2 linked regions of the Canis lupus familiaris genome follow. The protein of the gene in region 1 binds, or shares a complex with, the protein of each later gene. Links are inferred from orthologs where the notes say so. Each region holds a gene or a part of one and is shown in the gene's direction. Other genes may lie near its edges.

What was found. Proteins that work in one complex are often made in the same cells at the same time.
Region 2: the proteins of PAK4 (region 1) and INKA1 are in contact, whole or in part, in a crystal structure (PDB 4XBU), measured with the Homo sapiens proteins. The link is inferred for Canis lupus familiaris from reciprocal best matches to the Homo sapiens genes PAK4 and INKA1. Residues at the interface, in NP_001014831.1 of Homo sapiens: Ser331, Gln358, Arg359, Glu361, Leu362, Thr404, Asp440, Lys442, Ser443, Asp444, Phe461, Leu475, Val476, Gly477, Thr478, Pro479, Tyr480, Trp481, Met482, Arg489, Glu507, Glu512, Phe516, Asn517, Glu518, Pro519, Pro520, Met524; in NP_976248.2 of Homo sapiens: Gly178, Arg179, Ser180, Arg181, Gln182, Pro183, Leu184, Val185, Leu186, Gly187, Asp188, Asn189, Cys190.

What each region holds. Positions count from the first base shown.
Region 1 is NC_049222.1:114,799,446-114,804,163, reverse strand, and holds part of PAK4 (serine/threonine-protein kinase PAK 4), read left to right. Parts: intron 1-298; 5' UTR 299-353; coding exon 354-557; intron 558-3,333; coding exon 3,334-3,792; intron 3,793-3,984; coding exon 3,985-4,422; intron 4,423-4,718. UniProt on the Homo sapiens protein: Serine/threonine-protein kinase that plays a role in a variety of different signaling pathways including cytoskeleton regulation, cell adhesion turnover, cell migration, growth, proliferation or cell survival.
Region 2 is NC_049241.1:39,875,555-39,880,335, reverse strand, and holds INKA1 (PAK4-inhibitor INKA1), read left to right. Parts: upstream 1-1,888; coding exon 1,889-1,939; exon of another isoform or gene 1,940-2,017; intron 2,018-2,136; exon of another isoform or gene 2,137-2,297; intron 2,298-2,685; coding exon 2,686-3,480; 3' UTR 3,481-3,523; downstream 3,524-4,781. Other genes in the region: CDHR4 (cadherin-related family member 4), read right to left, coding at 1,387-1,477, 1,708-1,890; UBA7 (ubiquitin-like modifier-activating enzyme 7), read right to left, coding at 3,792-3,921, 4,387-4,487, 4,562-4,654. UniProt on the Homo sapiens protein: Inhibitor of the serine/threonine-protein kinase PAK4. Acts by binding PAK4 in a substrate-like manner, inhibiting the protein kinase activity.

The sequences.
Region 1 (4,718 bases):
GGCCATGTGTGGATACTGGGGAAGAGTGTTCCACGAGATGGGAACAGCCAGTGCAAAGGCCCTGAGGTTTGAAAACCAGTGTGAGTGAAAGGGACGTGAAAGCAGAGAGGTGACAGGGGTAGGTCGTGTGGGGTGGGCTGCAGGAAGGACTCGGCCCCACTTAGATGGTTCACAGAGTCCCTTGGGCTGCAGGTGGGGGATGGGAGACCAAGGAGGAGATGAGGAGGGGCAGGGCCAGGGCAGGGTCAGAGGAGCAGAGAGAAATGGCCGGGTTCTGGTGAGCGGCCCCCTCCCGCAGGCCTGCTGATAGGAGCCCAAGTCTGCGCCCTCGTGGTGCTGAGAGCCTCGGCACCATGTTTGGGAAGAAGAAGAAACGAGTAGAGATCTCCGCGCCATCCAACTTCGAGCACCGCGTGCACACGGGCTTCGACCAGCACGAGCAGAAGTTCACGGGGCTGCCCCGCCAGTGGCAGAGCCTGATCGAGGAGTCGGCTCGGCGGCCCAAGCCCCTGGTGGACCCTGCCTGCATCACCTCCATCCAGCCCGGGGCCCCCAAGGTATGACCCACCGCTGCCTCTCCTGCCCCACACCGAGCCCACAGGGTGCCCCTGCGCCCTCAACCTCATGCTTGACCCTGGGGCCGACCCCTCCTCACTGCCTGCCAGACACACACACCCCAACCCTCTACCCTGATCTTCACCCCCAGTGCTAACCTCGATCCCTCCACCCGCTGACCCCTCCCCTTGCCTCACAACCCCCACCTTGACCCCTATGGCAGACCCCCCCACCAGCCTCCTTGTCTTGAGCCTCCTCTCCCTGGGCTCTGTGCCTGTCCCCAGTACCAGGAACTTGTCCTCGGGCAAGGGCCAGGCCCCCAGGGTCAGGGGGGTCTGGCTGGGTGGCCCAGGGGAGCTGCTGCCAGGGAGTCTGGGAGAGCTTTGGGGGGAGGGGATACCTGAGCTGAGCCCTGAGGGCTGAGGAGGCGTCTGTCCCTGGGCAGATGGAGAGGAGGCGGGGCTTAAAGGGGAGGAAGCTGTCCGAGGAAAGCCCTGGAGGTGTTTTAGTTTGGTGGGGGGGTTCCTGCCATCTTGAGCAAAAGGGTGGAGTGGGGATTTGAACCAGGGTCTGTTTCCACAGCCTACAGCCCTTGAGCCCGTTCCCATCTGCGTGTCCACGGCAGGGCGTGGAAGCCAGCCCGGAGCGCGGACTTCACCCCAAGGGCAGTGGGAACCAGGAAGGGCCGAGGGCACGCGGCCAGGGTTGTTCTGGGGTGGAGACGGGTGTGCTGGCGTGCGGGCCCAGCGCCTGGGGACCGGCCTGCGGCTGAGCCCCCCTCTCCGGGTGCCCGGCCCGGTGGCCCGAGGACGCCCTCCGTGATCAGCGCAGGTGGGCGTCGGTGCCAGGGCCGGGGCTGCGGGGGCGGGTAGCTCATGCCGGCCTTTTGAGTACTTTGAACTCTTTGCCGCGGCTTAAAACAGCAGAGACTTCACATCCAAATCTGTATTTCTGGCTTCTGCTGACTAATCGCAGGGGCTGAGGGGGTGGCGGCCACCGCGGACGGGGCACTGGCTCTTCTGGGCCCGCAGGCCCCCCCCAGCCCTACTCAGTTCCATCCCCCGGCTGGCCTCCTGGCTGCTCCGTGCTGGCTCTGGCCTCCCTAGGGGACCCTAAAATCTGACCCCTGCCCATACCACTGGCGGTGAGCCCTGCTTGGGCTGTGTCCGCCAGGAGGAGGAGGCACCTTGTCTTGATTCACACGAGGGTGCGCGTGGGCTAGCGCTGTATCGGGACCCCTCTGGGTATTTGTTCGCTGCCCTAGGCTGGGAATCTCCCCTTGGCTGGGTCCTCCCAGACCCGCCCCCGTTCCCCAGGGACTTCTCAGCCTCTTATTCCAGCACTAGGGTCTGACCAGGTGTCTACCTTGCGTTACCTGGTGCCCAGGCAAGACTGGGCCTCCACGCTTGTGGCCAGGCCCAGGAAGGTTGGCGGGGTTGGAGGTGCGTTTTGTGGCATCGGTGTTTTGTGCACAGTACAGGGGGCAGTTCTGGCTTGAGGATGTCTGGCAGCCTTGGGCCCACGTCCCCGCAGGCCAGTGAGGGACAGCAGAGGGATAGGGGTGCATATTCTGCTCCCCGCAGCCCCCTCCCAGCCCTCCTCCCTCCCTCACTGGTTCAGCCAGTGTTTCTTGAGCACTCTCTGCATACATACCACTGTTCTAGGTGCTAAGATGTAGCAAGAGCAGAAAAACAGGCAAATACAACAGCTGCCTTCATGAACATCACACACGGGTGGTGGGGGGGTGCAGGCGATGGTCAGTGTACGCGTGCTTCATGGCAGCTGGTTTCAGGTGCTCCAGAGAAAGAGAAGAAAGGGAGGGGGAATAGGGAGTGTTAGGGGCTGCCGTTTTAGAGTCCAGGTGGTCAACCAAAGCTTCCCCCTGAGAAACTGAGTTTGGGCAAAGGCCTGAAAGAGGAGGACGGGGAAGGAGCTATGGGCATACTTGGGGGAAGGTGTCCTAGGAAGAGTGAACAGCCAGTGCAAAGGTCCTGAGGTGGGCGAGTACCTGGTATGTTTGAGGAGCAGTGAGGAGCCCTGTGTGCCTGGAGTAGAGTCCAGGGGGGACGGGGGAACCCTGGAGCTTTGACTCAGTACTCAAGGGAAGAGGTGGCCATGACCTGGATCAGGGTGGTAGACTCAGCAGCTGGAGCTGGGGTCGATTAGGGACACACGGTACATCCACCGGGCCCCGTGGGAATTCGCATTCGCCACCACTGCTCCCAGGGCACTCCTGCACTGCGGTCCTTTCCAACTCTCCTGTACTCCACCCTTGGCTTCCAGGGAAACAGAGCATGGGTTTGGGGTTAACAGCCGGCAGGCTGCAGAGGAGGAAGTCCAAGCCATGCCCTGGCCCTAGCATCGTGTAATTTGCAGCTCTCCAGGGCTGATTATGGGGTGGTGTGGGCTCTGCGCTCCTTCCTCTCCTGCCCACGGGGCAGAGACCGGCCCCCAGCCTGGAGAATAGAAGAAAAGACGGGATGCTTCTGTGGGGGGAGGGCTGGCCAGCCCAGGGGCGACAGCCTGACCCGTGGGAGGTTAATCCTTTGGCTTCCTCCCTGCGAGAAGGACATCCCGGTGGTGTGGGAGGGGCTGCAGGGGCCTCCCTGGTGCTGCCCCCACCTGCCCAGCCCCATCATCACCCCATGGCATTTCTTCATTCCGTCTCTGTCTTGTCTCTGTGTGTGTTGTGTTGTCCTGTCCTTGTGTGTCGGATACACGTCCTGTGTCCTCCTCTTCCTTGCCCGGCCCCCATCCCGCCATTGCCCCGGACCCCAGACCATCGTGCGTGGCAGCAAAGGCGCCAAGGATGGGGCCCTCACGCTGCTGCTCGACGAGTTTGAGAACATGTCGGTGACGCGCTCCAACTCCCTGCGGAGAGACAGCCCACCGCCACCTGCCCGTGCCCGCCAGGAGAACGGGATGCCCGCAGAGCCGGCCAGCACGGCCAGAGGGGCCCCAGAGAAGGCGGGCAGCCAAGGCCGGGCCGCCGGTCGCAGCGAGGCGGGTGGCAGCAGTGGCGACAGGCGGCGGGTGGGGCCAGAGAAGAGGCCCAAGTCTTCCAGGGAGGGCTCAGGGGGACCCCAAGAGTCCTCCCGGGACAAACGCCCCCTCTCTGGGCCTGACGTCGGCACCCCTCAACCTGCCGGTCTGGCCGGTGGGGCCAGAGTGGCAGCTGGTCGGCCCTTTAACACGTACCCGAGGGCCGATACGGACCACCCGGCCCGGGGTGCCCAGGTAACCAACCCCCCTGCCCCAGGACCTTCCACTGCCCCTTTTTCCAAGACTCCCCCTGTTCCCTTCCCAACTCCAGCCTGTGCCCAGCCCACCGTCCATCTCCATCCTGACCACCATGTGTCTGTCCCACGCAGGGAGCAGAGCTGGCCCTCCCACCCCTCCACTGACAGCCACCTCTCTCTTCTGTTGCAGGGGGAGCCTCACAACCTGGCCCCCAACGGGCCTTCGGCAGGGGGCCTGGCGGTCCCCCAGTCTTCCTCCTCCCGGCCTCCCACCCGAGCCCGCGGTCCCCCCAGCCCGGGAGTGCTGGGGCCCCATGCCTCTGAGCCCCAGCTGGCCCCTCAGGCCCGCCCCATTGCTGCCCCTGCCGGCCCCCCGGCCCCCGGGCCCCCTGGGCCCCGCTCGCCACAGCGGGAACCCCAGCGAGTGTCGCACGAGCAGTTCCGGGCCGCCTTGCAGCTGGTGGTGGACCCCGGCGACCCTCGCTCCTACCTGGACAACTTCATCAAGATCGGCGAGGGCTCCACGGGCATCGTGTGCATTGCCACCGTGCGCAGCTCGGGCCGGCTGGTGGCCGTCAAGAAGATGGACCTGCGCAAGCAGCAGAGGCGTGAGCTGCTCTTCAACGAGGTGGGCCCCGGGCCCCCTCCCACCCCCGTCTCACCCTCCTCGTGTCCTCCCCCAGCTGGTTTTGAGGCCAGTGCTGGTCCAGGCCCTCTCTGGTCCAGGCCCTATCAGGGGGAGGGTGTGAGAAGACCGTTCAGCACTGGGGGTTCCCAGGGCTTGGGTTTGAGCTGCCTCCTCTCCTTACTGCTCACACCTGCCCGGGCCATCACCCCCAGTACCCACCACTGCATCTCTGTCACACTCTTGGCCTCCTCAGAGCCCCTCTGTGACTGAGTCCCAAACTGACCCCCAGAATTTCT
Region 2 (4,781 bases), on another chromosome or scaffold:
CAAACTCGTCCTTCTTCAGTCTTTCCTGGATCAATTCGCAGCAATTTCATCCAACCAGTTGTTCTGGCCAGAAATCTAGAAGTCGTGCTGGATGCTCTTTTTTCCTTACCCATATTCATTTATCAGCAAGACTTTATTTTAGCTCCAAAACATACTTCAAAGTCACCCCCTTCTGTGGCCCAGCTCCACTCTTGATGGATGAGGGCAGGAGCCTTCACTCTAACTACAGAGTGGTTCTCCTAAAGCAGCTGGGATTATCCAAACAAGAGCCAGCCCAGGTCATTGCCTGCTCAAAAGCCTCAGTGCTCCCCATCACACCAAAAACAAAACCCTTTATTTCCTTCTAAGGCTGCTAGAAGCCTGGTTTTACTGACCTCCTCATTTCCTCACCTATTACCATCTAGATACCTGGGCCTTCTTTATGTTATGCCCTGTGCAACTCTTCTCTTCTCAGGGCCTTTAATTGGCTGATGCTTCTGCCTAGAATCTCTTTTCTTTCTTTCTTTCTTTCTTTCTTTCTTTCTTTCTTTCTTTCTTTCTTTCTTTCTTTCTTTCTTTCTTTCTTTCTTTCTTCTTTCTTTCTTTTCTTTCTTTCTTTTTCTTTCTTTCTTTCTTTCTTTCTTTCTTTCTTTCTTTCTTTCTTTCTTTCTTTCTTTCACCTTCTTTCCTTTCTTCCTGAGACAGCACAAATGGGTGGGGGCAGAGGGAGAGAGAATTTTAAGTAGACTCCACATTCATCGTGGAGTCCAATTTGGGCTCTGTATCACCACCCTGAGATCATAACCTGAACTGAAATCAAGTCAGAAACCTAACTTACTGAGCCACACAGGCGCCCCTAGAATATCCTTCTTGATTTCCCATGATGGTTCATTCAGATCCCATGCAGAATGCCGCTTCCTCTGCGAGTCCCCTCTCCCAGACTAGCCCGGCCACCCTCATTCCCGCTACTTTTCTGTCTATTGACTTGTCTAGTCTTTCTCAAGTTAGACTGTATCCTGGAATCTAGCCTCGGATCCTGGAGCGGCCTCCAGGAACTGGCTCTGACTATTCTGGACAGAGTGCCGCCCTAACCCCCTGCGTTCTAGGTTGGCTTGTGTTGCGGGCAGAGGGAAACGAGTGGAGTTGCCCAGGTAATCGTGGCTAACCGCGGCTCCCCACTAGGGGGCGGCCCCGCCTAGCTCTGCCCAGACGCGCGGTGGGAGAGGGCGCGGGCTGCGCCTGGGCTGAAGCCTTTCTCCCGAGCCGCCGCCGCCGCGGCGCGGTCCGGTGCTCCCTGAATCCTCAGAGGGGGCAGATCCTCCCATCGCTTCCAGGGTTGTTGACGCCCGCTCCAGGAATGGATTCAGTGGGTCGGGCCCAGAGCAGCCACGGGACTGTGGGTCCCACGCTTGGGGGCGCTCTGCCCGCACGTGGGCGTGGCTGGCGGGGGTGGGGGGATCCGCGCCTTCACCGGGCCCCTGCGGGAGGGACCGCGGTTCTATACCGGAAAAACGGGAAAGCCGAGGCTACCGCGGGGAATCGACTTGTCTCGGGTCCTGCAGCGGAGCTGGAGTCGGCTCAACCGCGCAGGGTGTAGGGGAGCGCCAGCCCCGCCCCTTCCCCCTCCCAGAGCTGGAGAGGAGTGGGGAGGCGGCCTCAGGCTCACCCCCGCCCGGCCCGAGGGGCGGGGCCACTTCAGCCCCGCCCTGGCTCCATTGGGGGCGGCACCAGGGGCGGGGCGCGGCTGCCAGATGTTGGGGCGGCGGCGGCGGGAGCTGCGGAGAGCGAGCAGCCGCGGAACCAGGCGGAGGGCCGGGCGCCGCTGGCCGGCCCGCTGGGCCCTGTGGGCGCCGGTCCCGCTGGAGTTCGAAGAGGAACTGGCAGGCCTGGCGGGCGCTCCGGCACGGGCATGCACAGCGCTCGGCTTGACAGCTTCCTGGGCCAGCTCCGCTGGGAACTGGTGAGGCTTGGGAGCGGGTGTGGCTTGTGAGGACGTGTGCGGGGTGCCCAGCTGCCGTCCGGCCCGAACAACACACGGGTAGGGGCCGTCCCGAGTGCCCATCTAAGGCAGGATGGGGGCGGGGCGGCGCAGATGGCCCAGATGGCCCGCATCGGGTTTCGGACGGTTGGGAGCTGCGCTGGGCATCAAGTAACAGCCGCCCAGCTGGCCTTGCTGCCGGGGCGGCAGAGGGAGTTGGCGGGGAGAAACTTCTTTTGGGGTGGATCAGGGGGCTGAGAGGGACTAAAGAAGTGCTGGCACTGGTGTGGATGCCTTCAACCCCAGACCGACCTGTACCTCCTTCCCTACCCCCTACCTGGCAAGTGCTCTTTCTCTGAAAAAGGCTATGAGCTTTGGGGTGCTGAATCCCTCAGGAAGCAGGGATGCTCCCCCACCCCTAGCCCTGAACAGGACCTACTTCCCGATACAGATAGGCTCCCAACCCTGCCTCCCGCCTTGGTGGCGGGTACCGACTTGCCCAGCTCTGCGTGCTGCAGCCTGCCGGACTGCCACCAGGTCGGCTGATGGGAGCCACACGAGCTACGTGTGCCAGTGCCTCCATGCCGGCCCGGTGCCCACTGGAGGCCTGCTGTCCAGGCCTACAGGCCTATCCAGCCCTCCTGGGCCTTCAGTTTTGGGACTGGTCTGGCCAGGCAGGCAGGGGTGACAAGCAACTCCTCCAACTTGGGCCCTCTCTTTTTCCACAGCTGTGTGGCCGGGACACAGGCTCACCTCCCATGTCTGGGCCCCTTCCAACACCCCCCAAACCTGGCCCATGTGTTCCGCTCAGCCACCGGCTCAGGGCTTCAGATGCCTTGGAAGAGAATTCAGTCTGCTGTGTAGAAGAGGAGGAGGAAGGTGTAGTCATAGGAGACAAGGGTGTTGTCTTGAGGAGCCCCAGGGAACATGCCCTGGACTGGGACTCTGGCTTCTCTGAAGTGTCAGGCAGCACATGGAGAGAGGAAGAATTGCCTGTACTCCAGCACCCATCACCCCCAGCATGGCCCCCACATAGACAACGCCTCTCAGCCAGTGGCATTCCCCTGCCCAGCAGAGCCCCTGCGGCCAGTGCACCACCTGCCCACCGGCCACGTCCCAAGTCTACCCCAGATGCCTGCCTGGAGCATTGGCAGGGGCTGGAAGCTGAGGACTGGACAGCAGCCCTGCTGAACAGAGGTCGCAGTCGCCAGCCCCTGGTGCTGGGGGACAACTGCTTTGCTGACTTGGTGCACAACTGGATGGAGCTGCCAGAGGCAGCGGGTGAGGGGGACAATGGTGGTGGGCCCCGTGCCCGTGCTCGTCCCCCTCAGTTCTTGCTTGGGCTCTCTGAGCAGCTGCGGCGCCAGCTGGCCAGGGCACGCCGGGCGGCTATGGCGGGAAAGCGACTGTCGTGCCCACCTCGCCCGGAACCGGAACTGCCTGCAGATGTCTCACGCTTTGCAGCCCTCATGAGCTGCCGCAGCCGCCAACCTATCATCTGCAATGATGTCAGCTACCTCTGACCCTGCCCTCCAGCCTGGGACAATAAAGGCCTTTTCTGGACTATCCTGGTTCCATACCCCTGAGGCTCTAGGAGGCGACCCCAGCTCTTTGAGGCACACAGCCCAGAAAGGCGAATCTAAAGAGCCCTTTCTCTCCCTGCAGGGGTCCCCATCATGTCCATGTCACACACCCTGTGCATTACACCCTGTGCCCTGTGTTTCATCATCCATCCATTCCACTCACACCCTCCTTCATCAAGTATTTATTGAGTGCCTACTATGGGCTCAGGATGCAGGGCTTGATAGAGCCAGGGAATAGGGCTACTGCCTTGTCACAGCTCATAGTGCAGGGGAGGGAAGGTAGTATCCTCATCTTCACCCTCACAGCTGAGCTCCAGCACCAGTACCCGCTGCCCTGGCTTAGGTATCCAGCCTGTCACCTGCTGTACCAATTCCGTCACCCTGGTAGTATGGGGGAGGGGGAGGTGGGAGAGTGATTGGCTAGGTGAGCAGTGGTAGGCAGAGTAACTGGGCATGGACCAGAGGGTGCTGATGGGCTGTAAGGAGCCTAAGCCAGGGGCAGGAGGAGCTCAAGGCAGGAAACATCTGAAACTATTTTAGGAGCAGCAGGCAGGGCGGGCAAGGAGGCAGGAAGCTATGAGTCCCCTGGGAGTGGGCTGTGAAAGGGGGGCTTAGCAGAGTGTGGGGGAGCTTGTGGAGCTGGCCAAGCAGGCTGTTTGGAGGCCCCTTCTCAAGTTTTCCATCCTCACCCCACCCCCAGCCCATTTGCTGGCTCCATTTGGCAAAAGAAGGTCTCAGGACGGTGTGAGGGGCCCAAATGGGGATGGGAAGAACAAAGACTTCGGTCTCCCACCTCCAACCTCCAGGAACAGAACAAGTCATGGCTAAAGCCAGATGTGGGCTCACCTGAGGGCTAGGCGCTGCGCCTGCTTTTCAGGCAGCCATCCTGCTGAGTAGAGCAGGGACCTCCCATGCAGCAGCATCTTCACCCTCAGCCCAAATTGTTCCTAGTGAAAGACAGGTCAGCTGCCAGCCAGGCCAGGTTGGGCCAGGCCTGAAGGCAAGGAGGAACGGGGCTCACCTGGAGATGGGCCAGCAATAATTTCAGGGTCCTCTCTGGCTGCCCAGCAGGCACCTTCAGACGGTCCCAACAGGTCCATGTCAGGTGATGGAACTGGGGGGGAGGGGGCAGGAGGAGCTTCTCACACACACCCTCCCCCTACCCATTACCAGCAGCTGATGGCCCCTTTCCTAGAGGAGGAGCTGGACTAGAGGCAGGAAACAGAAGCCAGGGGGGTGGG